Linked DNA regions of Ovis aries. The protein of the gene in region 3 interacts with the protein of the main gene of each other region in a pairwise test. Links are inferred from orthologs where the notes say so. Each region holds a gene or a part of one and is shown on either strand. Other genes may lie near its edges. The genes, in order: ATOSB, CREM and FHL5.

What was found.
Region 1: the proteins of FHL5 (region 3) and ATOSB interact in binary tests that used the Homo sapiens proteins (3 or more experiments, as listed by UniProt). The two-hybrid records come from large-scale screens. The link is inferred for Ovis aries from reciprocal best matches to the Homo sapiens genes FHL5 and ATOSB.
Region 2: the proteins of FHL5 (region 3) and CREM interact in a two-hybrid assay, tested with the Homo sapiens proteins (2 studies listed by BioGRID). The link is inferred for Ovis aries from reciprocal best matches to the Homo sapiens genes FHL5 and CREM.

What each region holds. Positions count from the first base shown.
Region 1 is NC_056055.1:53,357,350-53,367,699, reverse strand, and holds the start of ATOSB (atos homolog protein B), read right to left. Parts: upstream 5,665-10,350; 5' UTR 5,548-5,664; intron 5,174-5,547; exon of another isoform or gene 5,033-5,173; intron 3,446-5,032; exon of another isoform or gene 3,315-3,445; intron 897-3,314; exon of another isoform or gene 586-896; intron 1-585. UniProt on the Homo sapiens protein: Transcription regulator that may syncronize transcriptional and translational programs.
Region 2 is NC_056066.1:17,619,211-17,629,560, forward strand, and holds the start of CREM (cAMP-responsive element modulator), read right to left. Parts: upstream 6,582-10,350; 5' UTR 6,349-6,581; intron 1-6,348.
Region 3 is NC_056061.1:40,495,310-40,505,659, forward strand, and holds the start of FHL5 (four and a half LIM domains protein 5), read right to left. Parts: upstream 4,648-10,350; 5' UTR 4,535-4,647; intron 1-4,534. UniProt on the Homo sapiens protein: May be involved in the regulation of spermatogenesis. Stimulates CREM transcriptional activity in a phosphorylation-independent manner.

The DNA.
Region 1 (10,350 bases), on a different chromosome or scaffold from region 3:
CCAAGGGAGCAAGGCCAGCAAAAACAACAAGTCCCAGAATACCATGGGGTCTGTACCTTCAGACACCTGCTAGGCCTGAGAGGTGGGATAGGTGGGTGTTGAGCTCCCAGGCTTACGCTCCCTTTCCCTTTAGTATTAAAGATATCCATTTCTACCCTGATCAAGGAAGGTGGCAAGAAGAATTCCTCTCCATGTGCTTTCCACATTCACCCAGTTCAGACAGGACTGCTACCAGCTGCTCTACATTTTGTCCTCACAAGCATCTACAAACTAGGGAGGCCATTCCCAAGGACTACTACTGTGGGTAGGCAGGTTACCCTCTGCTATCTCACCAACCCCTTGCCTCTGGCCTAGAGCCCTCCACCCTTCCTGGAGAGGAAGCAAATCTTAGCACCTCCTCCAAAATGAGCCCAGGAGACTCACTCCAGCACCCGGGCTCTAAGACTCCTTGTTCTGACCGATTCCCTCTCCTCCTATTTAGCCTCCCAGGTCCTGCTTCACCTTTCTCCTCCTCACAACCTGGGACAGGCCCCATTCCCTATTGGAGCTTCGGAGATTTTCTATTTTCCCCTACCACAAACTCACCCCGTTCCCAAATTGGCTCCGCCGCGGCGCCGCTGCTCCGGGCCCTTCCGTCCAGTCCCGGTCCCTCCCCTCGAATGCCCGGTCCTCCCCGCCTCGGGCCCCCAACCCAGACAAAGGGTGGCTCAGGCTGAGTCCTGCACTGCTAGGTTCTTCCCTGCTCAGTTTCTTGGGCAACACTAGCGGGTCCTGGCGCCCGCAGCCCCCAAGCCGCTGCCGCGCCCCTCCCCGCGACTGTCCCTCTCCGTGGCCGCCCCGGCTCCGCGAAGCCGACTCCGCTGCCCCTCTGACTCACAGGCCATTTCCTACCAGCTGATGGGGCAGCCCGCCCCGCCCAGCTCCCCTCACACCCCCGCGGCAGCCTTCGAGGCCGCCACGCCCCCCTCAAGCTACGCCCCCATCGCAGCGACCATACTCATTGGCCTAAAGGAGGCCAGCCTCCACACGGCCTCAAGCGTGAGGCACGCCCCCTTCAAAAGATGCCTGTCCATTGGTCCATAAGGGGGCAGGCCTACCTAGGGTTGCCCCGCCCATTTTAACCCCTCAACTGCCCGAGTCCAAAGCAGCTCTCAGCCCTGCCTTTTAACCCTTTCAAAGACGTCGGGCTCCCACTTCTCACCGCGCCCTTCCTCTTCAGAGGAAGGTTAATAGGACGGCCTAGGGAGTTCATAGACAAATTTCGACAATCCCCAAAGTCAGCTTGCTCTTCCAACACTAGATTCCAAATATCCCCACTCCCATCATCTCTCCGTGCCTTGCAAACCAGAGACCACAGGGCTGCTGAAGCTCAGGAAGCTTCCTTCGTGCCAGGATAAAAAGGTCTTGAAGAGGGATCTCATCTCCTTCCATTGAGAAATGGTATTTTTCCTTCTTTTACTCTATATTGATGTTGTTTTGCCTACATTAGAAGGCTTCAGGGGCTCCTGAGATAGGGATACATTTTAGTTCAGGAACCTAGACATCATTATGTCTTTAAACTTTCATTTTCAGATCAAACTGCTTCAGTCTTTCTGCCAGTACTCTTTCTATTCATAAGCCCCTGTTCAAGGAGGCAGAGCACCCAGGGAAAGTGAGATCGGAAGGCTTCTGCCCAAAGTAAGGGGAAACATGCCCAACTCTTGTGACAGAGCTCACCCCCATGACTCACAACTCCCTCGAAACTCCCCACCCTCCTCCTGAGTCACTGGGCCCCAAGCCCAGCTTAGACCCAACCAAATTAAGTGGCAGCAGAACCAGCATTCCTAATTCATATTCTCTTATTACTATAGCTCGCCAGGCTCCTCTGTCCATTGGATTCTCCAGGCAAGAATACTGACGTGGATTGCCATGCTCTCCTCCAGGGTATTTTACTGACCCCGGGATCTCTTATGTCTCTCCTGCATCAGCAGGTGGGTTCTTTACCACTAGCGCCACCTGGGAAGCCCTGTTCTTTAAATGAGCAGGATGGAAACCTTTGCAAGGATTAGACATTAAAAGACACTTTTTAGAGGGGCTGATCTATGGGCAAGCTAAGAAAAGAAACAGTCCTGTCTACTTTTCCCTCTGCACTTGTGAAGTCAGACAATTTGGAACTTAAGAGGTTGCTAAGACTGGGGTCTTCCATAGGAAAAAGAGCCAAACACCAGAGCCAAAGAAGGGAAGACCCAAACTGAGGCCCTGGAGAACTGGCATTAGGCAGGGCATGCTCCCTGGCCATATCTTTGGAAGAGCGGAGTGAATTCTTTTGTAGTTCAGATGCCACCAAAGCCCCAAGGTCCTTGTTTCTACCTTGCCTGTAGTGCAGGCCCCAAGGGCCCTGAAATTGTCACTGAACAGTAGAATGAGGCTCTCTTCACCTACTTCCTCACTGTGCCCTGGACTTAGGAAGGACAAAAGAGTAACAATTCCTCTAGCTTCCTTTCTCTTCATCTCAAACCAGGGGGAAAACCCTGAAAAAGAAGTTGCCATGGATTGACTTCCTTGCTGGTTCCCTAATGCTAAGGAACAGGATTTAGGGAATTTTCAACAACCTGAACTAAGTTGCAGAGTAGCAATCTAAGAGCCTACCTACCTTAGTAAAAGCTTACTGGGAAGACAGGTAGACATACAACACTGTAGGAAAGAAGTAACCCCTTGGTGACCCCACCGTGTTCTATCTAACTGCCAAGACCATAGGCCCAGACCTTAGTCATCTGCAAAAGTCTAGGGGCAGTAGTTCAGGGGGAAGGATCAAAGACGTCCTAGGCCTCAGTGTGCTCTGGGAGAGCAAGCAGCGTTGTACAATCAAGAGGCTTTACCTAGCTGCCCTAAATTCTTACTCTGCTTTATTTTTCTTCATAGCAGTTATCACCAGCTGGCACTTCTCTTCCTCTTTCCCCCTCCCTCTCCTTTCTCTCCCTCTGCAGCCACACACACATTTCTTTCTCCCTGGGTTAGAATACAAGCTCCATGAGAGCTGCAACTCTGTTGTATTCATGCTAGTACTCCCAGAATCAGTATCAGTGCCTGGCACATAATAGGTGCTCAATAAATGTTGGCTCAACGAAACATTGACCCCTGGGCTGAGTGAAGAGTATTCAGAAGACCTGGGTCCCAATGCCTGGTCTTTCACTATGAGACCTGGAGAAAATATCAGTCTCTTCTTTCTTAATTTCCAAATCTGTAAAATGAGTTTGTATACACAGTTACCACTGAGGCCTCTAGAACTCTGACCTTATACTGCTATAATCCTAATGGCTATTGTTCACTCTTACCCATTTTCAGAGGATGGGTCCAAGCATCTGGATGCTCTGCTGCTTGTAAGGAAGTAGAAAGTCTATATACTCCAGCCCCTGCATAGCAAACCAATGCCCTTTCTCTTCATGCCCCACCCACTCAAACAAATGCCACAATCTTGAGGAAGCTGGAGTGAGTCCGCCCTAAGCCCGCCTCTCTGAGAGACAATCTGGGAAGCTGTGTTGCCATAGCAATCAGCTCCTCCTCAAAAGGCTTCAGCCTGCCCTTCTTTACCCCACCCTACCCCACGGCTTTGTCTGGCTTTGGCACCCCCTCCCTCCCCAGCCAGTCTCTCAGCCAGAGGAGACTGGCTTGGGGCCCCTTTCAGCAACACTGTCACTCTCATTCAGCCACGGTGTGGAAAGCAGGGCTTTCTCACCCTCTTGCAGCCTGCCCAGGGGCAAAAAGAAGTCTGGCGCTAAATCAAGTCGCCTCAGGGAATCAGAGACTAGGCCCTAGTCTGGTTCAGATAGTCAGATTCCAACCCAGGAGGGTGGGGAGCCATTCCCTGTCCCTCCCCCAGTGGAAACTGGAACCTCCCTTCCCAGTTCAGCCAACAATAGTGGCTGACCTCTCAAAGCATGCATCGCAGACCCTCAGTACTTCTGACCATTTCCCTCTCCCACAGAAGCCCAGAGTTTTTGAGGGAATTAGGGTTCCCTACCCAGGAGAAGGAAAAGTGTGCAGAAATCAGTTTGTGGCAAGTGGTAAAAAGGTATCTACCACTCACTTGGGGGGCTGTGGGGAGAGACCTTGGTAGCAGTGAGGGTGAGGTCTGGGCCTTGCTGCTGGTTACCTAGGTCTCTGGCCACTGAGTACAAAGTCTGGGGCAGGGCACAGCTCCTAGACAGGCAAGGACCAGGCCAGGCCCCAGGCGAGGAAGGAAGTGGGAAATGAGCACACCCAGAGCATAAGGGCAGGGCAAACTGGGGGAGGAGGGGAAAGACAGGGACTAAGGCAAGCTTCTAGGAGGAACAGGAACTACAGTGAGGGGTACCCAGAACCTAAGGGGGGAAGGGTCCCCAGGGACACCAGCTAAGGGAAAAATATCCCAGTCTCAGCCAGACAGATCCAAAGCTGACTGAGACAGTCACACAAGCTCTAGTAGCAAGTGGGGCCTGCATCCTCTCTGAGTGCTCAGGCCTGAAGGTGGAGTTAGGAGCTGAGGAGCCAGGAACACTGCAGACTGGCTTCTTCACCCGAGTAATCCCATCACCCTCATCCCTGAGACACTGTACAAAAACCTCTTCCTGGAGTCTCTACAAAGCCTCCAGACTTTCTCAAGGCACTAGGGGTTCTCCCCTCCTCATCTGGGGCCTGTAACCCCTTCCCCTCACACAGTGCCCACAGCCCCCACACCTTCTTCCTCCACACAGTCCCTCCCACACTCTGGACCACTAGCCGATCTCCATCACACAACGCCCCCTCCACTTTCCCCTAAAGCGCCTTCATATCCCCTCCCCCTCAAGTATCATCTCCAACCCTTCACTTCACCTCACCCCCTCACATTGTACTTCCCAGCCTCACAAAGCACTCCCGCCCTTCCCCCACAAGGGGTACCGGAGAAAGCACCTCTTAGCCCAGTGAGCCCCCCTCCTCCTCCTCCAGCTGTTTTACTCCATCCCCACCCCAGCATTTCTCCAGATCTTTTCCTTCCCTGACATGATCCTCCCGCTTCACGTCTACCCAAGCGCACCCCCGTACTTGTCCATTCTTCCACGCGCACCCGCCCCACACCTGTAGTTCCGCGAGTCCCGTTGCAACTGGGGAGGTAGTGGATTGGAGCAGTTACATAGCTGCCCTAGCTGCAGCCTCGGCCTGCAAACCTCGCCCCTTTGGTCCGAGCCCCGCCCCCGCAACGACACGACCCACCCTCTCCGTTGTCCCACCTCCCACCTTCCCCTGGCTCGTCCCCTTTCCTAGATTCTTTAATTCCTGGGGCTCCTCCCCTGTAATTCAGGTCCTGCCCCTTTCTGGCTCCTCCCCTTCTCGTCTTCTTGGCGTCTCCACAGAGAACCTCTGCTTGTCTTTCGTCCCACCCCGGTCCCCGCCCCATCCTTGATCCCCGCCCCCTTCTGGTCTTCGCCTTTCACTAGGATCCGCCCCCTCGGATTCCAGGCTGGCAGAACCGGTGCCAGGCTCGCTTCCACTGCTAGCCCCCTCCCATCTCGGAGCCTCTCCTCCCCCCGCCCCTTCTCTGGCTGGCCTCACCCCGGCGCTGGCGCTGCAGCCCGGAACCGCTGGTTTTGATTGGCGGCGGTGGCCCCAGTGGATGGCGGAGGAGACAAAGTGATGGCTGCAGGTCGCCTGAGGGCCCACCCCGGCCACGTGCGGCTTCTGTGATGACAGGTCTAAAGGGGCGGGGCCTCAGTCCGCAGTGTGCGGCCTGGGCTGACCGGATCCGGCCGGAGATGGGGAGCCAGAACCTGCGCCAAAGCGCTTGCTTGTGGGCGCCCGAACCAGGTTGGAGCCATCCCAGGCTTTCGAGCTGGTGTGAGCTGCCTGCGGAACTTGAGCCTCTTAGTGAAGGCATCTGGGTTAGCGCGCGTATTTGCCCTAATGGGGGAGATCTGTAGGGTTTGCAAAGTAGTGCAAAGAGCTTCAGAATTCTGTGAAAATGCGGGAATCTGGTTGGCCGGGGTCTCAAGTCTGTGAGGAAGAGCACTTTCTGTAGCCTACGGCGTGTAGGAGACAGGCAGTAAGAGTTAGGTCTATAGCTGTGGAGGTAGGTCGGCGAGAAGTCTGTGAATTTTATGAGCCAAAGTAGAGCCTTTGCTTTGTTCAGTCGACTGAACCTGTATGACTGTTACACACGTTCTGTAATTTAATTAGCGCTTGAGTCTTCAACTTCCCGGGAGCCCCACGAGTTCCCAAGATATGTCCAGGGGAGAGCGACGCTTACGAGCCACCGGTAGATGGCATCCCAGGTCCCTTGCAGAGCCGAGTGGCTCTGAGCCCAGAGCCTAGTGAGCTTCTCGATGGAGTCGGAGGTATTGATGGCTGTGTGATGGACTGGACCTGGTAAAGTTATCTCAAAGTCTCAGATTCTTTAGATCTCTGTGACTTTCTTTCTGTGAGTAGTTAAGAAGCGGCTTTACTAAACACCAATGGTGCGCTAGGCAAAATGAAAACAGAAAAAGAAAAAAATGTTCTGCTCTTACGGAACTGCTCAGATTGTCTTTCTAATACTTCTGTAATGCTCAGTTCAGTTCAGTTGCTCAGTCGTGTCCGACTCTTTGCGACCCGGTGAATCGCAGCACGCCAGGCCTCCCTGTCCATCACCAACTCCCGGAGTTCACTCAGACTCACATGCATTGAGTCGATGATGCCATCCAGCCATCTCATCCTCTGTCGTCCCCTTATAGAGGGTAAAATTGGAAGAGTTTTGTGTCATGGAAAAAGCTCAAATTTGAAGTCATTTGGTTTGGTAAGGACACTATACTAGCTGTATTGGGCAAATTACTTGATTACTAGCTAAATTTGGGTAAATTACTAGATTAAAAAAATAAATTTTTAAAAAGGTTTTTTATTATCGGGATCATTTTAAAAGTCTTCATTGAATTTGTTATAATATTGTTTTTGTTTTATGTTTTCGATGTTTTGGTGGGAGGCATCAGAATCTTAGCTCCCCACCAGGGATCCAACCCACACCCCTTGCATTGAAAGGCTAAGGGCAACCACTGGACCACCAGGAAAATCCCTAAAAATAAACTTTTCATTTTAGAATAATTTTAGATTTACAGAAAATTTGTGAAGATAGTACAGAAAGTTTCTGTGTACCCCACACTCAATTCTCTGCTTTGTTCTCCACAATTAATAATGTCTTACATTAGTATGGTACATGTGCTATAATTAATTAACCAATATTGATACATTATATATATCAATACATGTAAATATGTATTTAGGATACATCCTAAAGGAGATCAGTCCTAGGTGTCCATTGGAAGGACTGATGTTGAAACTGAAACTCCAATATTTTGGCCACGTGATGCGAAGAGCTGACTCATTTGAAAAGACCCTGATGCTGGGAAAGATTGAGGGCAGGAGGAGAAGGGGATGACAGAGGATTAGATGGTTGGATGGCATCACTGACTCAATGGACATGAGTTTTGGTAAACTCTGGGAGCTGGCAATGGACAGGGAGGCCTGGCGTACTGCAGTCCATGGGGTTACAAAGAATCTGACACAACTGAGCAGCTGAACTGAACTGATACATTATCATTAAAGTCCATACTTTATTCTGATTTCCTTAGTTTCTACCTAATGTCCCATCCAGAATAACACATTAGGTTTAGTTTTCATGTCTCCTTAAACTCCTCTTGGCGTTGATATTTTCTCAGACTTCCTTGTTCTTGATGATCTGGGCAATTTTATAGACAATTTTATTGATCAGATATTTCAGATATTTTGTAGAATGTCTTTCAGCTGGAATTTGTTTGATGTTTTTCTGATGAGGAATCTATTGCAAATCCATTTTCCCATTCTGTAGCTTGACTTTATTCTCTTAGTGGAGTCTTTCAATATGCAGAGCTTCTTTAACCTGTCCAGTTTACATCTTTTTGTTTATATTCAATGGTTTTTATGCCCTATTTTAAAAGTCTTTGTCTACTTGGAAATGAGTGTATTATCTTAGGTTATTGTCTAGGAACTTTATTATTTTACCTCTTATTTAATCATCTGGAATAGATTTCATGTATAGTGTGAAATAGATGTCAAGATTCATTTTTCCCTCATATGGTTATTTAGTTGAACCAGAAACTTTTACAAAAACTGTTATAGTACAATTTCCAAAAAGTTAAGAGCAAGATTCTTACAAGAAGCTAGAATGAACATATATCAAAGATAAGCAGGTAAAGCATGTGTGATGAGCAATTGAGGAAATTAGGGATTATATTAGTCAGAGTTCCGGGTGTGTGTATATGTGGATATACAAATGGAGAGGTTTTATTATAAGGAGTTGGCTCACAGTATTGCAGAGGCTGACAAGTCCCAAGCTGTCAAGCCAGAGACCCAGGATAGCTGATGGTGTAGTTCCAGTTCCAGTCCAAAGGCCTGAGAACCAAGAAAAATGCCAGTATAGTTACAGTCTGAAAGCCGGCAGCCTGAAGACCCAGGCAAAACTGATTTTTCAGTTCGAGTCCACTGGTAGGAAAAAAGACTAATGTCTCAGCTCAAAGGAAGTCAGTCAGAGAGAAATTCTCTTCTTCAGTTCTTTTGTCTATTCAGGTCTTCCACTGATTAGATGAGGACCCTCCCCCGCCCCACCACATTAGGGAGAGCAATCTGCTTTACTCAGTGAAAGTGAAAGTTGCTTAGTCCTGTCTTACTCTTTCGGACTCCATGGACTATACAGTCCATGGAATTATCCAGACCAAGTACTGGAGTGGGTAGCTTTTTCCCTTCTCCAGGGGACTTCCCAACCCAGGGATCAAACCCAGGTCCCCGGCATTGCAGGCAGATTCTTTACCAGCTGAGCCACAAGGGAAGCCCTTCCTGAGTAAAGGAAGCTTTACTCAGTGTGCCTATTCAAATGTTAATTTCATTCAGAACCATCCTTATAGACATATCCAGAATAATGTTTGACCAAATATTTGGTACCCTGTGGCCCAGTTAAGTTGACACATAAAATTAACCATCCTGGGTATTCACAGGCATTTGAAAAAAGAGTGCTAAAATGAGATTTTAGATTAGATATAAAGGTAGTTAGTGTCTACAGGATAGTAACACCATAACGTTTTCTAATAATCAGAAATCCTTTGCATCATCACCAGACAAAAATCTATTCGTTAACATATGACTTCACAGAATTAGCCTTTAATTTTTGTTTGTTTATTTATTTGGGGGGTAATTTCCTTTTTAAAATTTATTATTGGAGCTTTACAGTGTTGTGCGTCTGCTGTACAACAAAGTGAATCAGCTGTATCTATACATATATCTCCTTCCTTTTGAGCCTCCCTCCCACCCTGCCTCCCCTCTCGCCCCTCTTGGGCATCACAGAGCACCGAACTGAGCTCCCTGTGCTGTATAACAGCTCCCCACTAGCTGCCTATTTTACACATGGTAGTACGCAGAGTTAGCCCTTAATAACACATCATGAGTAAAGCAAAAGTTTGTTGCCTGGGTAATCTTTGGCTGCCCCTGATGTCTTTTCTTTGCAGCGTTTCCAAGTTTTGGATGATTTTTATGAACAAAACAATCCTTTCCCCCTTTTCTATGCAATGTCTGTTTTTCATAAAACACATGTTAATAATATATGATATGTTCCTGTCCCTCCTTGCACCATTGTCTCACTGTCTTAATTACTGCGTTGATATGTGGTGGTGTATATCCTCCAACTTCAAGATCATAAGATTATATTGACTATTTTCAGCCCATTCCATTTCTGTATAAATTTTAGGATCAGCTGGCCAGTTTTCATAGACACACATACACATGCATATCTTCTAGGATTTTTATTAGGATTGCATTAAATGTACAGATAAAACAGGTTTTTTATAATTGTTTGTTGTTCCAAATAATGTCAACATTCCCTTATTTAGTAAGAGTTGTGAATCTTTACAAGAACCTTTTTACTTTAGGACCAACAGAAAAATAATAATTTGGTGACTCTAAGCACACTGATCTTTTAAAACAGAACAAGGAGATTTTATTTTGTCAAGTAGACTTTCTGGGTGAAGAAGTAGAATATATATTTTAAGGCATTCCAGTGGTTTTAAATTTTCACATACTGAGTTTGAGTAACAGAGTGATATTCAAGTAGAGAAACCTCGTGGGTTATTAGACATATAGGTCTGAAGCTGAGGAGAGCAGTCTGAACTAAAGATAAAGATTTGGAACCTACTGACATATATAGATAGCTGTGGGCAAGGTTTAGAGTTTGAGGAGGAGGAAAAACAAAGGCCACACATGGAGACTTGAGGTTCTACTTCACATCTATATTACATAGTTTGAAGAAGAAAATGAGTCAGAAATAGTAAATTAAGGAGGAAGAGGGCTCTAGATCATATGTAT
Region 2 (10,350 bases), on a different chromosome or scaffold from region 3:
TATCCACAGCGCAGCACAGCACTGCAGGCTGATCTGCGGGTCAACTTGAGTTCTAGCCCTTACTGGACTATGGTTTTTGCAAGAAAGACAAAACTGAAGTCCCGCCACAATTAGCATGGTCAAAATGAAAAGAATGTGGAATAAAAGGGCAGTGCACCTCTAACGGAAGCAAGAAAAGAGAGAACACAGGAATGGATAATCTGTTTCTTGGGCTGTGGTTTAAGAAAGATTTTAGCTCTTTGGGAAAGTAGGAGACCCTCACACGTTAACTATGATTTAAGTAGCAACAGTAAGGTTTGGAAGAAGATAGGAGAAGACTATGAAGTTCATAAGGTAAAGCTGGTTCTTCTCAACCAAGTCAATTAAAAAGTTGGGGAAGGGCAGGCTAGCTAGAAAAGAGAAGTACAGTTGACCTTTAAACAACGCAGGATTGAAACAACATGGGTCCACCTATATACGGATTCTTTTCAATACATATATTGGAAATTTAGGGGAAACAGGCAACAATTTGAAAAAACTCTCAGGTGAAACTCATAGCCTACAAATATTGAAAATATTTTTTAAGAAAAGGTATGTCACGAATGCATAAAATATACAGAGATTCTAATCTAGCTGAACATAGGCATAAGGTGAGTGGTAGGCACTTAATATAGCGTGTTAGTTTTCTTACTCTTTCATAACATTCAGAGGGTTACATGACCATACAGTATGCCTCACTCTCATAATTGGAGAAACTGTCATGATAGGTGAGTGTTTTGATTTTTTAATGTAACAATGTTTCCAATACTGTATTATAAATGACTGTAATATTATATGTCATAAATTTCTACAATGATTCATTCATTAGTGTATAGCCTAGGCTACTGTGCCACTGTCAATGCATGAATCATTATATCTATAAATGAAACAAAATTTCTTTTCATATTACCTTTTCATTTTTGATGTCTAGTGTTAGGAATACATAATAACAGCTACAGTGTTTTGTTATCACCTAAGATGGTACTGATGTACTGACAAATGATTCATCTTGTCAATTTATAGTACTGATAAATACAGTACAGTCCTATAAATGTTTCTCTTCCTTATGGTTTTCTTGATAACATTTTCTTTTCTCTAGCTTCTTTATTGTAAGAATATAGTATATAATACAAATAACATACAAAATACATTTCAATTGACTGTTTATGTTATTGGTGAGGTTTCTGGTCAATAATAGGCTATTAGTTAAGTTTTAGGGGAGTCAAAAAGTATATGGGAATATTCAGGGGTTAGTGCCTCTAACCCCCATGTTGTTCAAGAGTCAACTTCAATTACCAAAAGCCATATATGTGAAGTTGACAGGGATGATCCTATGATTATTATGTATTTTTAGGTGAAGATGAGTACAGGAAAAACAAAAAATACAGTAGTAACAGGAAATCATGCCACTTTAACTTTTTGTAATTTTTGTGAAGCAAAATTAGAATAACCTTCAAATAACAATTTTTACACTTCTCTGTAAAAATATAAGTGGTCAGGAATAGTTTTTGTAAATAATTATTTGAAACACTTGCAAATACTGTCTTTACTACTTTGAACATGAATCACCCAGAAAATCAAGCAGCATTCTAATACAGATTCAAGACCACCCAGTTTAATTGCTTCAGATACCTATTATGCGTGCGTGTATGCATGCTCAGTCACTCAGTGGTGTGCAATCCCATGGGCTGCAGGCTGTCAGGCTCCCCCTTTTCCATGGAGTTTCCCAGGCAAGGATACTGGACTGGGTTACCATTTCCTCCTCCAGGGGATCTTCTCAACCTAGGGACTGAACCCATGTCCCCTGCATCTCCTGCATTAGCAGGCAGATTCTTTATCACTGAGCCACCTCAGATACCTATTATTATTTAAGAAATATTAACTCTTTACTAAAACCACCAAAGGATTAAAAATTATTCAAGCATCTCATTCTCAATTCATTCCCCCCTGGTGCCTGCTTTTGTCTATTTCAGTCAATGAACAGCAGATCTGCTGCTAAGGAGGAAATGAAAAATGAAATTCAAATAATCATGGCCTATTTCCTTGTCTCCAAGTCCCCCTTCCCTGCTCCAGCTCCAATTCATGAAAGGAAACAAAACTTTCAGTCTTTTGGGGAAGTTATTGCTTGACTAATAATCACTGTAGGGTTTTTCAACAGCATGCTCCATTGCTGCACTTTAGGTATATTTCAAAAACACTTACCTACATTTAAAGTACAACTGCATTGACCACTAACTAGTAAATTTGGGAAAGAGTAGGTAAGACACTGGATTTAGCTAAAGTTTATAGAAATGAATTTCAATGTTGTGATACTCAGGTTGGTCCTATCTTGTGTATACGAACAAAATTAGTGTCCAAGTGCAGACACATGTCTAAATAAATTAAACTTCACTCCTCCAATAATTTTAAGAAATGCAAAAGCATCCCAAGTGTCTTTATGCATGATACATAGTTGTCCCAATGCCAGAACTGGAAACTTTCATGACAATCAATGCTATGCTATAAATTACTAAGCATTTCTAGGTAGAAAAAATAATTTTTGTGCTATCAGTGGAAAAAAATTGAAGCTGTTTGAGAATGTGAACAAAACTCTATGACATTTGACATTCTGAGTTAGGATGTTCTAATTTTAAGTCTGCTGAGTTTAAAACAAAACAAAAACAAAAACGTTCATTAAGATAACTTTGAAGAAACTGAGTTTATTTTCAGGAATCCTCAAAAGTAAAAATATTAGAATCACATGAACCCCACTGTTACAATTTAGCAGAATTTCATTTTGACATTTGTTCAGAAAGTGTGCGTGAAGCTGCTTCTCATTTGGGGAGAGAGACTTCAGGAGAGCCTCACAAAAAGTTGCTAGTAAGGTTTTCTTGGAGGCAAGCCTCCTTCCTCACCAGGGAGACAGTTATTTTAAACAGTTCCAAATAACCTTACCAGCCCATGCTTTTCAAAACTGTTTTGCGTGCACCTTGCCAATAATTTCCTATAATACTCCTGGGATGGTCAGTCAAGAGATTTGCAAAATAGGTATTTTTGAAATTTGCTATAACTGAATTATACCATAAGACTCAACTTGTCTTCAGTAATGTCATCCTTACGTTATTCTCTTCATTCTCTCTTACTTTTTACTGGATATCCTATAGCATCATTAAAAGAAAACCCATGAATGAAAGATTTAAAAACAGGGCACTGTTTATTGTGCAATTCTCATGGTAAAAAGTATTTTACATACTTTGTGTGCTTTAAAAGGGAATTAACAAAATGATTTAAAATGTATATCTCAGTTTCTTCAAACTTATCTACATGTGTATAATGGGTGAGAAACACTTCCCCTGAAATCTATATTTTTACAATGTATATACCTGTACTGATAATATTGAAACTGGATTCAATGTAGGACACTAATTCTTCTCAAAATTGACTTTTATATGGGTTAACAGCAGTCTCATTAAGTAGAAAATTAACAGGATTCAATGACATTTCAGGTTTATTTCCTTAATGACCACTACTGATTGCATGTCAAAACATCAATGGTGCAGTTGTTAAGTATTTGCATTGTTCAGTTTTATTTTTCAAAGTTTATCTAAATAGGCCATGACATTTGAGCACATTCCCCAGTTGAACTGGCCCAATATTAACTTGTAGAGAACACAAGGGTGGAGAAAACAGGATCAGGAATATATGTCTATACTGATAAAAGATTCAGTCAGGACTCCTTTTGTATGTTAACCTGAACATACTTCCCTGCTGCTGCTGCTGCTGCTAAGTCACTTCATTCGTGTCCGACTCTGTGTGACCCCATAGACGGCAGCCCACCAGGCTCCGCCGTCCCTGGGATTCTCCAGGCAAGAACACTGGAATGGTACTATTCATGAAATGTCCTTAATTCTAAACATGATTTCATATTTTAAACATACAATGATTTGTCTCAGTGGGAAACTAGTCTATGGAGTCTGGAATTTGTTAAATTCACCAGATTTCAGGAAAGCTTCTGGGGCAATAGGGAAACAGAAAGACTAAAGCGTTCTTCTTTGTTTACACATTCAATAAAAATTTATTCATACACTATTACAAAATGTGCACACAAAACATCCATGTAATTACAACTTCACACTCACCAAAGCAACTCCAGGTTGAAGACCAAGTCATTGTGCAAGCATTAGTTTACTCTTAACTATTTTACAGATGCACCAAAAATGTCTGTGTCATTACCATCACTTAACATGACAGTTTTCATTCCAATCCCAAAGAAAGGCAATGCCAAAGAATGCTCAAACTACCGCACAATTGCACTCATCTCACATGCTAGTAAAGTAATGCTCAAAATTCTCCAGGCCAGGCTTCAGCAATACATGAACCGTGAAGTTCCAGATGTTCAAGCTGGTTTTAGAAAAGACAGAGGAACCAGACATCAAATTGCCAACATCTGCTGGATCATGGAAAAAGCAAGAGAGTTCCAGAAAAATATCTATTTCTGGTTTATTGACTATGCCAAAGCCTTTGACTGCGTGGATCACAATCAACTGTGGAAAATTCTGAGAGAGATGGGAATACAGACCACCTGACCTGCCTCTTGAGAAACCTATATGCAGGTCAGGAAGCAACAGTTAGAACTGGACATGGAACAACAGACTGGTTCCAAATAGGAAAAGGAGTACATCAAGGCTGTATATTGTCACCCTGCTTATTCAACTTCTATGCAGAGTACATCATGAGAAATGCTGGGCTGGAAGAAGCACAAGCTGGAATCAAGATTGCAGGGAGAAATATCAATAACCGCAGATATGCAGATGACACCACCCTTATGGCAGAAAGTGAAGAGGAACTAAAAGCCTCTTGATGAAAGTGAAAGTGGAGAGTGAAAAAGCTGGCTAAAGCTCAACATTCAGACAAGGAAGATCATGGCATCTAGTCCCATCACTTCATGGGAAATAGATGGGGAAGCAGTGGAAACAGTGTCAGACTTTATTTTTTGGGCTCCAAAATCACTGCAGATGGTGACTGCAGCCATGAAATGAAAAGACGCTTAATCCTTGGAAGGAAAGTTATGACCAACCTAGATAGCATATTCAAAAGCAGAGACATTACTTTGCCAACACAGGTCCGTCTAGTCAAGGCTATGGTTTTTCCAGTGGTCATGTATGGATGTGAAAGTTGGACTGTGAAGAAAGCTGAGCACCAAAGAACTGATGCTTTTCAACTGTGGTGTTGGAGAAGACTCTTGAGAGTCCCTTGGACTGCAAGGAGATCCAACCAGTCCATTCTAAAGGAGATCAGTCCTGGGTGTTCTTTGGAAGGGCTGATGCTAAAGCTGAAACTCCAATACTTTGGCCATCTTATGCAAAGAGTTGACTCATTCGAAAAAACTCTGATGCTGGGGAGGGACTGGGGGCAGGAGGAGAAGGGGACGACAGAGGATGAGATGGCTGGATGACATCACCGACTCGATGGATTTGAGTTTGGGTGATCTCCGGGAGTTGGTGATGGACAGGGAAGCCTGGCGTGCTGCAGTTCATGGGGTTGCAGAGTTGGACACGACTGAGCGACTGAACTGAAGTGAACTGAGTGGGGAAAAAGTTCCTTTTAAGGTCAAAGATTTAAAGACTGTGACTGATGAGGGGAAAGCAGCTTGTTACTCAAAAGCAGCATGGATGCCAAAGATGTGGTACCCACAGGGGAATAACCAGAGAACACGACCTTCCTGTCTTCTAACACAGTCTTCACCTTGGACCTCCAGCCCTGCGCATCTCGGTTTGTGTTTATTTGCAGGGAGGGTGGCTGCACTCCCAGGAGCCCGGCGAATGAGGCGGGGAAGCCAGAGGTGTTCGGAAGCTGCTTGGGTGAGCCGCTCGGTTACGGGGCCTCCGGTGTGGGCCGAACTGGTTCCGCCAGGCGGCATCGCTCACCCTCGGGCCGGCCGACCGCCGCTGCCCGAGCCGCGCAGGGAGGGAAGCGGCTCACACTATGGATCCAGGTCCGGCCGTCCGAGGACGCTCGTCCCTCTGAGTCCGCGGTCGGGTCCGCGGTCGCCTGGCTGGCTGGTCCCGGCGCCAGCGGGGCACGGGGAAGGAAGGTAGCGCGCCTTCCAGAAGCACCGCTCGGGGTCTCGGGTAGCGAGAATTGGGGGCGGCGGCTCTGGCGAGCGAGCGAAGCCGACCGACCCGCGTCGCCCGTCGGCCCTCCCCTCCCAGGAGCCGGAGCGGCGGCCCTTCGGAAAAAGCCCTTGAGGTGCGCGGGGCAAACGGCCCCCGGCTACCCGCTCCGCCCCGCCTCGGCTCCGGCGCCGCCGCCTCAGGCCCCGCGGGTCCCGCCGGCCGGCGCGCCACTTACCCGCAGCGAAGCGATTTACGTAGCGGACCTCGTCACTGCTTACGGACGCGAGGAGGTGGGACGACGAGCCCCACCGGGACCGCCGCCGGCCCACGTTGCCCCACGTCAGCGCTGATGCGGCCGCGGCCTCCCCGCCGAGCGCGATCCAACTCGGCGTCGCAGCCGCCCGCCCGCTCGCGGCCTGGAGTCCGCGCGTCCACCCGCCCGCCCCGCTCCGCGCCCGTCCCGCGCCCGTCCCTGCCCAGTGGACGCCGGGGAAATCCACGCTCGAACCCCGCCCCCTGCCGGCCGCCTGTGGGAGTGCGGCGCCGACAATCCAACAATTGAATGGAACGGGGCGGGGGGGAGGGGATGAGGGGCGGGGCCTGAGGGCCTGGGAGGAGGGGTCTTAGGTGGGGAGGAGGGAGCCAGGGGCGGGGCCGGGAGAAGGAAGTAGGCTGGGCGGGGAAGAGGACCGCGTTGCGGGCGGGATCTGCGGCTGTACTGAAAGAACCGGAAATTGCTAGGTGGCACCTGCTCTCGGAAGTCAGTCCATTGGAAACTGCTAACCCAGGTGGTGCCGTTGTGTGTGCCGAAGTGGCTTCCCTTTGGATTGTCCCCAGCTGCCAGACGAGGCCCGGGAGCGCATCCTACGGACACCACCCCGCCGCCTCCGGCCACGAGCCCCGGAGGCCCCGCCCGCCCGATCCTCGGCGACCTTGTCAGGGTCCTGGGGTCCCCATTTGGTGATTTCGCGGAAGACAGGAAGGCTTTTGGGCAACAAGCAAAACCCCCGCCTGGAAGAGGGGAGAGTTTCGTTTTCGCCTAGCTGGAAACCCGGGGTTTTCTAGTAATAGGGGCGGTCCCGGCTGATAAAACGGTCACCTATTGTGTACCAGGAACCCTGTTATAACGGTGACCCAACGCCCGACCTTAGGTTCTCAGGAGTGGGTCACACCGAGAACTGCCATCAAGGACACTATTTGAAAAGTTGCTGAGTAAAGAAAATAAGAGCATAAGCCACGTAGTGCAGGTGGAGATGGGCAGCTTTGAGAAATAGTAGGATCCCAGTGCGGTTCTTCCGGAAGGGGAGAATCCTGAACTGTTCAGTGCCAGATTATTGCCATTCCGACGTACTGGCAGCAGTAAATGCCTGCTAGCAGAGATGACAGGGTAATAACGTGGTCGGTTCACGTTCTCCTTTCCACATTAGCAGAGCTTTGAAATTCTTCCAGGACAATAGTCGATGCCTGTCTCCTCCTCCTGTTAAAAATGAGGGACATTACAAAGCTAATAAAAAAGTTAACCAAGTCCTTTTCCTGTGTGTGCTGAGGTAAGGCTGGCACAGGGTATTTATTCGTAAGTAATCAATGAAGCTCATTTTAGTTCAGAAAAAAAAAGAGAGAGAGAGCCATTGGAAGGAATGAGAAGGAAAAAAAGACCAGAATGCTAAACCTGAGAAGTCATAACCTTTGTTTTGATCAAGGTTGACCATGTGCTGGAAGAATAGATTTTTAGCTTCCAGTGATTTATGGGGAATTGTAATCCCTGGAGAATCCCAGGGACGGAGGAGCCTAGTGGGCTGCCGTCTATGGGGTCGCATAGAGTCTGACATGACTGAAGTGACTTAGCAGCAGCAGCAGCAGCAGCAGTGATCACTCTCCTTCCCAAAACATTGTTCTCCACCTACTTGTTTATCACTAAATTTTTTTAAACAAAGTATACATTCTTTGTAGATAGAATCCATCAGACAGAGGGCTTCAAATGCAAATACGAGTCAGAGGGGGCTGAAAAGCATTTGTAGCCCGTTCCAGTGACAACTCAAGACAGAGACCCTGTATCACTGTTGTTCAGTTGCTAAGTCGTGACTAACTCTTTCAGATCTCATGGACTCTGCAACTGTGGCACTTCAGGCTCTTCTGTCTTCTGCTGTCTCCTGGAATTTGCTCAAATTCATGTCCATTGAGTAGATAATGCTATCCAGCCATCTCCTCCTCTGCTGCCCCCTTCTCCTTTTGCCTTCAGTCTTCCCCGGCATCAGGGTCTTTTCCAGTCAGCTGGCTCTTTGAATCGTGGCTTCAGCTTCTTCAGCCTTAGTCCTTCCAGTGAATATTCAGGGTTGATTTCCTTTGAGATTGACTGGTTTGATCTCCTTCCAGTCCAGAGGTCTCTCAAGAGTCTTCTCCAGCACCTCAGTCAGAAAGCATCTATTGTATCCTTAGGAGCTTTCATAAGCACCACTTAACATGCCCAAATAGATCCAAGTGACCCAATACTGCCTTCTGGCTTTTTGTATTAATCACTTTCCTGAGTCTTCTCAGCCCCATTCAGCCCCTCCCTATTCTTCCATTCTCCTTTAAAACACTCAATCGCCTCTCTAAATTTGATGTTGAATTCAGTTCAAGCTAGATTCTTTTTTTCTATTGCTATAGTAGATAGGGGGCTTCCCTGGTGGCTGAGTGGTAAAGAATCTGCCTGCCAATGTTGGAGACATAAGAGACACAGGTTCGATCCCTGGGTCAGGAAGATCCCCTGGAGTAGGACATGGCAACCCACTCCAGTATTCTTGCTTGGAGAATCCCATGGACACAGGAGCCTGGCAGGCTACAGTCGATAGAGTCACAATGCGTTGGACACAACTGAAGCAACTTAGCACACAGATGCATAGTACATAGGTGATTAAAACCACTTTCACTAGTGTTAGCTTTATCTGACAAGTCACAGGAAGCTGTTAAATCATTAAATATCCAATATCCTTGCAGTCAAGGATGCAAGGATACTTCCCACCCATGAAGGCAGGAAACAGTCTGATTGCCCTTCCTTTCCTTCTCTGACTTTCTTCATTGGAGAGATTTTTTTATACCTGCCACCTCCCCTCCCTTTCCCAACATTTAGGTCCACCATGGGTACAGTGTTCTCCTTCTGTCATGCTGTGCTTTCCTCATAAATCTCACATGTATGCCTTCTTCCATATCCACACCAGTGCCTTCCTCATCTATATCTCTGCCTTCCTCTTGCACCCCACACCTATGGCTTCCTGTTATTCCTCCTACCCCCACATCTTTGCCCATACTCTCTTTAGTTTCTCCTTTTTTTCCTTTTTGACTACCATTTAGTTGCTAGAGAAGAACATCAAAAGCACCTTTCTTCCTTACTTTCTCTGATTCTATTTCATTTAGAAAGCTAGAACACATATCTAATCATGTTCATTATGGATTTTTGCATTAAATATTCTTTTTAAGTATTACATTCAAATGTCATTTATTTTGATTACTGAGTTCTTGTGCCATCATAAATTCTGTGCCCAACATGGGTTGCTCTCTCCTATCATGGTATCCCAGGCTTGATCTGTGACTTATATTCAAATTTTGTCAATTTTCCCAACATTATTCTCAATAACTGTCTTCTCCCATCCATTATCCCATTGGAGTCATGCATTGCACTTATCTGTTTATATCTCTTTATTCTGGAACTATTCTTCAACCTTTTTTTTCTCTTAACCTTGATATTTTAAATGGAATAGTTCAGTTATTTTGTCAAAGGGTGATTTAAAAAAACTATTTATGGAGAACAGACTTCAAGGAGAACAATCAATAGAAATTACCTTATGGGTTAAATAGGCTTCATGGTACTATTATTTCTACTGTTTTTGTCATGGGAAAATATTTTTCCTTCTAAACAATTTCTCATCAAACTTTTAGAATATAGTTCATCTATAAATTTGATGTTATGTTCAAATTCAGAGATTAATGAATTGGTGATAAAATGTCCCTAACTAACTGACTGATGATGATCAAGATAGGATTTTTTTCACTCTTAATTTCTGGAACAGGCCACGACAGGGCTTTTGCATATGCCCATTCCCTCTGACTATTATGCTTTTCCCTTTTCTTTTTTCCTCGTTAATGTCTATTCATTCTTCAGAGCTTAGCTCACTGTGTCTTGTTCAATGAGGCTTCCCTTTACTTGGCAGACTGAATTCAGCCCCTTTAACCATTTATGTATCCTCATTTTATTAGATTC
Region 3 (10,350 bases):
TAGCATATTCAAAAGCAGAGACATTACTTTCCCAAGAAAGGTCTGTCTACTCAAGGCTATGATTTTTCCAGTAGTCGTGTGAGAGTTGGACTGTGAATAAAGCTGAGCGTTGAAGAATTGATGCTTATGAACTGTGGTGTTTGAGAAGACTCTTGAGAGTCCCTTGGACTGCAAGGAGATCCAACCAGTCCATTCTGAAGGAGATCAGCCCTGGGTGTTCTTTGGAAGGAATGGTGCTAAAGCTGAAACTCCAGTACTTTGGCCACCTCATGCGAAGAGTTGACTCATTGGAAAAGACTCTGATGCTGAGAGGGATTGGGGGTAGGAGGAGAAGGGGACGACAGAGGATGAGATGGCTGGATAGTATCACCGACTCGATGGACATGAGTTTGAGTGAACTCTGGGAGTTGGTGATGGACAGGGAGGCCTGGCATGCTGCAGTTCATGGGGTCGCAAAGAGTTGGGCATGACTGAGTGACTGAACTGAACTGATAGAGGCTAAATTATTCAAGGTCTTGTGCTCAGGGCTCAGTTGCTCAGTCGTGTCCAATTCTTTGCAACTCCATGCGCTGTGGCCCTCCAGATTCCTCTGTCCATGGGATTTTCCAGGCCAGAATACTGTAGTGGGTTGCCATTTCCTTCTCCAATTCAGAGTCTTAACTAGTAAGAAAAATAACTTGTGCTTAATACTTATTCTGTGCCAGACACTGTTGTAATTTTAATATAACACATTTGTTCCTCATTTTAAACCTGAGAAAGTGTTACACTGTCAGGATCTTCATTTCGTATGAAAGGACAATGACACACACATGCACACTTGTGTGCGCACTAAGTGACTCTTCTAAGTTATCAGATTTAGTGAGGAATACAACAGAGATTTGAGCTCCAGCCAATCTAGCATGAAACGTATGGTCCATGAACCAGTATTATCAGCATCACCCGGGAACTTGTTAAAAATGCAACAACTGAGGCACCAACCCAGACCTACAGAATCAGAATATACATTTTAACAAGGTGGTTCCTGAGCACTTTAAAGTTTGGGGACTTCTGCTGTAACCCACTGAACTCTGCGACTTCTCTTTAACTTTGAGAAGGAATCTGGACATTATCCTAAGGCCAGTGGAGAGTCAGGAAAAGGCTTGAAGTAAGAGATAGTCAAAATAAATCTATTTTTAGACCAATAGTTTCACGTCAATGACTCTGGCTTCAGTATGGGGAGTGAAGCCAAAGAAGGCAATTCTGGAGGCAGGGAGACCCATGAAAGGACTACTGTTCACCAAATAAAGGAGGATGGCAGCCTGAAATAGGGTTATGGCAGTGACAGAGGAGGGAAGCTGGTGAGTGGATGAGGTAGTGTCAACAGAATTTGGAGATTCTTTGGGTATATAAATTGAGGGAGAGGTGGAGTCAGTTCACCTCCAGGTTCTGGCTTGAGCAACTGGTTGTATCATGGTGTTATTTTCTGTACGAGGATACTTAGGGGAAGCAGGGTGGGAAGTATGAGAGGTGGTTGATGAGTTTACTTTTAGATTAAAATGAGACTTGAGAGGACTGTGGGAAAGTCAAGGAGAGCTATTGAGTCAGGTCCGAAGAGTGAGTGCGGGGAAACCACACAAATTCCTTGGACATTTTGAAAAGGATCCCAGGGCAAATTATAGGGCAAAATTTCTACCTGGCTTGCCCTTCATGTCCCTCCACTTACTCCATTGTATTCACTAAGGTCTACACCTGCTCTGGGAAGTCCTATATTCAGCAGACAATCAGACATAGAGGTTTGTTGCTCAGGAAAGATATCTTAGCTGGACATAAAGATTTTGGACTCCTAAGAATATAGAATAGACTGTAACTGAAGCTGTGACATTGCTCAGAAAGAGAAAAGGAGTCTAGGATATAGGGAAGAGGAAGAGGAATCTGTGAAACTGACTGAGCATAGGTGGGAGAAAAACTAGCAGTTGGACATCATGGAAGCTCTGGGTAAAGAGTGTTTCAAGATGGGAAAAGTGGAGATGAAGGTAAAATGGTTCTGAAACAGCACAAAGAGAATAAGAAAGAAATTTCTGCTGGATTTAGCAATACACTAGTGATTGATCACCTCAGTGAGAGCTGGGGAAAACTGATGAGGATCAAAGCCAGACAACAATAGACTGAGAAGTGAGGGCTAAGAAAGTGGGGATTCTTTACAGTGTAGACAATACTTTCAGAATATTGATCTATAAAGCTTAGGAATGAGGGTAAACTGGAAAAGCTTGGTAATGAAGCAGAAGCTTTTCAAGATGGGGGATTTGAATATGCTTAAATGCTGAAGAGAGGAGCCAATAAAGGAGGAGAGATTAAAGTCCGGGATCCCTGAAGTAGAGGAGATGAGATAATGGGCACTGGTTTAGATCTTTCCTTTTATGCCCCAATCTACCAATAGGTCGGTATGGGGATTTGGGAGAATGGCCAGAGAATAGGGAGGCCCCGCTTCAGTCACCTGTTCCACATTCTGGGGTCTCTAGAGGCTTAGTCCTATCACCTTTCCATTCTAAGCCTTAGTCTCCACAGAAGAAACTTATGATATTTGAATCTTCCACTTTTATATCAGTAGACATGCTATCCAGAACAAGTATGACTATGGATTATGTATCTGCTTCAAAAATTAGCCCTTAAATGTCATCTTCAGCTAAAATCTTTGCCTTAACCTTACCTGTCCTTGGGTAAATTGAGAGAGACAGACATACTTCCACCTTAATCCGTTTAAAGATTGCATAAACCCACCAACTCCAGGTTTTGTGGAGAATAGTAGTTCCTAATCAGGACACCTCAAGAATACTCAAGAACAGGTTTCAAGAGTATATCAACCCCAGAACTGTTAAGGGAAAAAAATCTATATACAATGTGCTTTTTTCCTTCTGAGACATGTCCGTTGATTCTCAGATTGTTAAGAGAATCTGTGATCCCAAGTCTAATGTGGAGATAGTGCTCAAGCTGATAATTTTGGAGGGATTCGAGCTGTTATGGTAGGAGGGAGTCCCGTATCCTCTTTCTCCTTCCCCTCCTATTCACAATTCCTTCCAGGGGGCCAAAAGGTAACCAAGAAAAATGATGACAATCAGAAAGGATAATGAGAATTACAAGAACATGGAAATGTAAGGTTGTTTAACTGACATCTGATTCAGAACTTTGCATGTGAACCCAAGTATTTGGTTTCCAATTCTAAAGAGGTCATTTCCTAGATTGAAAATGTGAAAAAACAAATCTAAGCTTATGCAGCATGTTCTAGAAAAAAATTTATCTTCAATATTGTAGTAGAAAGTTGCTAGCCTCGCTTAAGGAACCCCAATTAATCCAACTTTACTCAGAATGTTGTTGGCAAATATAATAAAAATAAGAGGTAGATTTGTCAGTGAGGTGATGTTACATTAAAGCACAAATCTGCTGCTCTTGTTTAGGTAGAACAGTCCCAGAATTGGCAACTAATGACAACACATGGGAATAAATAGAACAAGTGTAGAAAACAGATGTCAGAGTTTACCTTTCCCACCAAGCAGTTTGGAGTATGGCTTTAGGCACAGATCATAACAAACATGTTAATAAATATCCTGTGCGATGTGTATATCTGCAATTGTTTGTGCTAAATTTTAACCCATGTATGTTGCTAATAAAAATCCTAGAACCTATACATGATAATATTGTGAATGTGAAATGACAGCTAAAATGACTTGTTATATTTTATTTATAAGAATTACACATTTTATTAATGATTCTTTTTGGTTCCCACATTTCCAAAACCCAAATTGACAAGTTGAGGTGTTGCATTTGGTTTTCAAATGGATGACAGACACCAAAAAGAATCTGATTAGAGAGGGAAAAAGTATAAACACATATGGGAACCATACTTCTGCTTTCATGATACTATCTCAGTTTCAAGAAGCAATGCTTTAGATTCATTTAGCATATTACACATGGGTCAGACACACAGATATTTTAATTCAATCTTAGAAAGCCTAAGATTAGGAATTGTCTTTATGCCTGCTTGTGAAAAATAGGCAGTTTTTCTTTTTTTTTAATAGCAGGAATCTCACTAACTCAAAATCTGTAAATGACTTTAAATTGTGCTCTGGATATATAAATCCAGCCATAAAATATCCTTAGTGATAAAGTTAGTCATTCAAATAAATTAAGCCAATTAAAACCCCAGAATCAAGTCATTCCCTTTTTTATGAATACAATGAAGCTGTATCTCCAATTACAGACAATTTTCAGAACTCAGGAGACAACTCAAGAGTTATTTGGCTACTATGTTGCCTTTATACACATGGCATCAAATTGAGAAATCTGAAAAGCTCAGCATATAAAGTTTGATAACTGCTGGCTCAAATGCCTTTTAAAAAGTTTCTAAGAAACTTCAAGATATATCTTGCTTGCCAAGTAAAACCAAGTCACCACAAAGTTTCCTTTAAGTAGCAATGAGAAAGTTTATAAGACTCTCCCACACTTAAAAAAAAAATTAGAAATGCAAAGACAACATTAAGGAGAAGAAAACAAAACTTACTTTTTCTTAAAGCCTCTTCCAACAGTTTAAACAGGATGAAAGGAGAATATACGATGATTTACACATTCATATGTTACCTCCAAGAGGTACAGAATGGGCCACCAAAACTATCTGAGGGTCCCTCCCAACTGCAGCCTTTTTAACTTTGTGGAAGAAAATAGGAGGGTGTGTGGGTTTCCTCCAAGTCTTGTGACATGTACATAGCTGACTCCTACTGGGCTGAAAAAGCACTCGTCAATTTTTACTTAAAATTATGAGTAGCAAATTCTCTGCGGGACATCCTTAAAGGGAAATCCTGCCAGAATTAGTACATGAAACGTCTAGATAATCTCCAGAAAGTTTAAAATATAAAGTGTACATACAGACATTCACATACACTCAAGAAATTCCCACTGCATAGTCTAAATTGAGGGTATATTTAAATTAAAAAAATTTTTCTATAAAGGATGATGTATTTCCTGTTTTGTGTGTGTGTGTGTGTGTGTTGTTGTTGCTGTTATTTCAGTGACAGAATCCTTCTTATGGGTTGCTGTGTGCTGTGCTTAGTTGCTCAGTCATGGCCGACTCTTCGACCCCATGGACTGCAGCCTGCCAGGCTCCTCTGTCCGCAGGGATTCTCTCCAGGCAAGAATACTGGAGTGGGTTGCCATGCGCTCCTTCAGAGGATATTCCCAACCCAGGGATCGAACCCAGGTCTCCTGTATTGCAGGCAGATTCTTTACTGTCTGAACCACCAGGGAAGCCCCAAAATACTGGAGTGGATAGCCTATCCATTCTCCAGGAGTTCTTCTCATCTCAGGAATCAAACTGGAGTCTCCTGCATTGCAGGCGGGTATTTTACCAACTGAGCTAAAATCAGATCTTCTTATAGGTTAGAAATGGACAAACTACAGAGATTTTCTGTTGAAATATCTGGAAAGAGATGAGGCCTGATGTTCTCACCTGTAGCGTTTTTCGTAGCTTGAGAGATGAATCGTGGGGTGTGGCCTCTATCACTGCCTTCCTGGGAAACTGGTGAACTTTGAACCTTAGACTTGACTCGGATAACTCAAAGTAGTTAACCTGCTTCTTGCACCTGTACTGTGGACCTGGCATTCCCTGCTTCTGCCTCTTTCCCTCTGAGCTGGCAACAATTGTTACGTCATGCCCATGGCAGTATGACTTCACTTAAGCACAGACTCAGCCTTTTGAAATCTGAAATCAAAACTTAAAAAGTGGCCAGATGTTTCAGGAGATGGATCTAAAGAAATGTTTGAATACTGAACTAATCTACAACAGGAATTCTGTGGGTCATATTTATCTGTAAAGCAGGTGACATTTACTTTTAATCTCTCTGTTTAAGGCCATTTCTTCAGTTTGTAAAGGTGGGTGAGGAAGGAAATGTTCTGCTTTAACTCCATCTATTCCCAGACCAAACTTGACCTGTCCTTGTTCCAGGTGCCAAAGAAATATGTTAGTGTTTTCTGAGGTCAAACTCAGTTACATACAATCAAAAAACCTGAGCTAGGGAAATATATAAAAGCAATCAACTCAGTGCCTTGTTATTCACCTGACTTTGATGATAAAGTTATTATAAAAATGAAAACATTGTGATGAGCAGCAACAAATTGATTCAGTGAAAGGACAAAAGAACATTCAAACTATTATAAAAATTCAATCTAACATAAAATCTATTACTAGTAATAGCTTTTAATTCTCATGATGCCACGGATAGACCGGCATTAATTTTCTCCTTTTAAAGGTGAGGAAGTAGAGTCCAGGAGTTATAAAGTCGCCTATGTCCCCATGTAGTTATGGAACCCTCTTTATTGCCCCCGTGTTTTCCTGAGAGGGTAATCTTCATTCACGCATCCAACCTAAGATCCTCCTGCTCCATTCTCAAACTACTCCACATAGCTCCATTAAGCTCATAAAATATCTTAGTTAACACTCTAAAGAGTAACTGTCTTTGATCTTACCTGAAATTTCTCATCTCTGCCATGTCCATTTCTTTTTGAAACTCTCTTTCCTTGGTTTCACTAAGTCATTCTCTCCTAATTTTCTCCTTGGGCTTAGCATCTTCAACCTCCTTTCCCTTTATTCACCTCACTCTTCCCTAGAATTTCATTCTCAGTTCAGAATGCTTCTCTACCCTCTCCATGGATTTTCTCATGAAAACAATTAGCAATATATTATGACTGCTAAACCTGTATTCTCAGCTGGTATTGCTCTCTAAGGTTCTAGGCCTGTATCCTGTGGTCTCTTCGCTGTCTTTGCACAGAGGTCCATAGGCATCCCAAACAAACACCTTTATCTGTTCCCCACCTCCCACTGTACAGATGAGGTCTGCCGCATTTCCTGTCTCAGGACATGGCACCGTCACCTAACCCATCGTACCTTGGACTTCTCACTTTCCTCAGTTAGTCTCCACCATCCCCATCCTCAACTTCTGGTGGTTCTACTTTGTTAAATATTTCCTAGATTTGTCATTATCCCTGCATTCTGGCCCTCGCATTTCTCACTTGGATTGTTGTTATCAGTCATAAAACATTTGGCGTCTGCCTCAATCTAGTCCCTTTCTATAATTTCTTTGTATCACTATAAAACAATATTTAAAGATATGTTTATGGAATTATAAAATACACGCTTCTTGCAGAAAGTCTGAAATAATGAAAAACATTGTTTAAAATGACTTGCAATCCAAGAGACAGTCACAATTCACTCAAATATCTTTGAAATATTCTGTATGCATACATGTAGCTATACAGGAAATGTTTATGAATTTTCATGCAAATACTTACACAGCTATAGTTAAATATGTTTAATAAGAAAATCAAAACCACACTGCATATATCTTTTTTACTTAATATACTGTGATTTTCCAAATCAAATATTTTTGAAGTGGCTGCAAATAATGGCTGCAGCATAATGAAGTATGTGATGGAATAACGCTTCCTCTTTTTTTCTCTATGATCTGTTTTCTTCAACATCAAAACTTAGCCTCAGCATTTATAATTTATGACTCACAAGACTTAGATTCTGGTGGGAAAGAGAGAAGAAAAAAAATAGAACACTCTTAAGTTCATTAATTTAAACTTAAACATTTAATTTAAGGCTGCACTTTACTAGTAAGACAGTTTAGTAGGAAAACAATTTGCTAAAATGATTTTTTCTTCTTTATAATGAATAATAGACAAAGGAGAAAACCTGTGGGGATTTTGTCTTAGCTTGACTAGTCAGAGAAAGGACTTTTCTTTGGTGGAAGACTGCCTCCTTTCCTTGAGAGATGTATCATCCACACTTCTCTTCTATCAGAGGCTGGGGGGAAAAGATTTGTACACGTTTTTAAGTTCACATTTTACTTCTCAGGAGACATTGATCTCACAAGTAATACATACATTTTAAAGGATTTTGGCAAACTGTCAAACTGCCTTTCAGAATGGATGATCCTTTTAAAAGACAATCACCTCGCTTCCCTGGTTCATCTTTAAAGGCAACCTCTTGCTTTTAGGAGAATGGCTAACTTCTCAGCTTAGCATGTAAGCCATTTTGTGATTCCTCCTCCTCTAGTCTCTCCAGCTTCTTCTTACACTACTTCCCAAATCATTTTTCATATTTCTCATACTTTAGGAATTCCAAAATTTCTCTTCATATTATCTTAGTAGTCTGGAATCTCCTTTTCTCTGCCCAGAAATGCCCTTACCAGGCTAGTCCTACTTTTCTCAAGAGTCACCTCCAGCTGGTTCAGTTCCCCTCCCTGCAGTGCAATACAATTTGACTTTCTTCTCCCATTACATCCTCTGCTTGCTGCTCTCCAAACACTGTATTGAACTGTAACTGTTGATTCTTGCCATCACCTTGAAAGCAAGACACAAAATTTTTAAGATTTGTATTATTATTCTTTGTACTTAGTTGTCTTACAGGATCCAGGAGATTATTGAGCCAAGGATTGAAACTCACCATGTCCTCCCTTTCCTCCATCACACCCCAGTATAATCCCTTCCTTCCTGCTCTTCAAACATACATCCAGGTTAAGTCTTACTACTAATCGTTGAAGAGGAACAGAAGTGCAAATAGAGACAAGCCTGGTAACACAGATAAAACACAACACTGGGAACTTTAAAAAATTTAATACCTGTTTAATGTAGTAGTTCCTTCTTTTTGTGTGTGATGTAAATGGAATAAACAGTTTTTGAAGACCCAAAAGTCAGGCTTTCTTTCTTAACGATTTGGAAAAAGTCTGACCTGGGTTCTTTTTTTAAAATTTATTTATAGTTGATTTACCATGTTTCAGATATATAGCAAAGTGACTTTTTAATGCTATATATATGTATATATATACACACATACATATTATATGTGTACACATACACACACAGATACTTCCCTGGTGGCTCAGATGGTACAGAATCGGCCTACAATGCAAGAAACCCGGGTTCGATCCCTGGGTCAGCAAGATCCCCTGGAGAAGGAAATGGCAACCCACTCCAGTATCCTTGCCTGGAAAATCTCATGGGCAGAGAAGCCTGGCAGGCTACATAGTCCATGGGGTCACAAATAGTTGGACACAACTGAGCGACTAACACTAAAACACATGCACACACAAATATATACATATATATTTTTCAGATTTCCCCCCATTGTTGGTTATTATCAGGTATTGAATAGTTTCCTGTGCTATACAGTAGGTCCTTATTTCTATTTTATCTGAAATTCCTAACTTATCTCCCCTCTACCCACTGCTATACCCTCTGGTAACCATGAGTTTGTTTTCTATGTCTGTGAGTCTATTTCGGTTTTGTAAATAAGTTCACTTATATGGGCTTCCTGGGTGGTACTAGTGGTAAAGAACCCAACTGCCAATTCAGGAGACATGAGACTCGGGTTTGATCCCTGGGTTGGGAAGATTCCCTGGAGGAAATGGCAACACACTTCAGTATTCATGCCTGGAGTATCCCATGGACAGAGGAGCCTAGAGGGCTACAGTCCATAGGTTCACAAAGAGTCAGACACGACTGACGTGACATAGTACACATGCATTTTCTAGATTCTATGTGATACCGTGTCTGACTTGATTCAATTAGTATGAAACTCTAGGTCCATCCGTGTTGTTGCAAATGGCATTATTTCACTCTTTTTTAATGGCTGAGTAATATACCATAGGAAAAGTGAAAGTTGCTCGGTCGTGTCTGACTCTTTGCAACCCCATGGACTACACAGGCCATGGAATTCTCCAGGCCAGAATATTGGAGTGGGTAGCCTTTCCTTTCTCCAGGGGATCTTCCCGACCCAGGGATCAAACCCAGGTCTCCCGCATTGCAGGTGGATTCTTTACCAGCTGAGCCACAAGGGAAGCCCAATATACTATATATCTCTTTATGTATAATATATATGCCCCATCTTCTCTTTCCGTCTATCTTTTGATGGACACTTACAGGCTGCTTTTATGTCCTGGCTACTGTTAAGTAGTGCTGTTGTGAACACTGGGGTGCATGTCTCCTTTCAAATTAGAGTTTTTATCTTTTCAGGGTATGTGCCCAGGAGCGGACTGCTAGATCATATGGCAACTCCACCTTTAGTATTTAAGAAACCTCCATACTGTGCTCAATAGTGGCTGCACCAATTTATATCCCCACAAACAGTGTAGGTGGTTTTCTTTTTCTCCATACCCTCTTGAGCATTGTTTATAAACTTTTTGTTGGCCATTCTGACCAGTGTATGGTGATACACCTCACTGTAGTTTTGATTTGCATTTTTCTAATAATTATGATATTGAGCATCTTTTCAAATATCCATTGACTATCTATGTTTTCTTTGGAGAAATGTCTATTTAGATG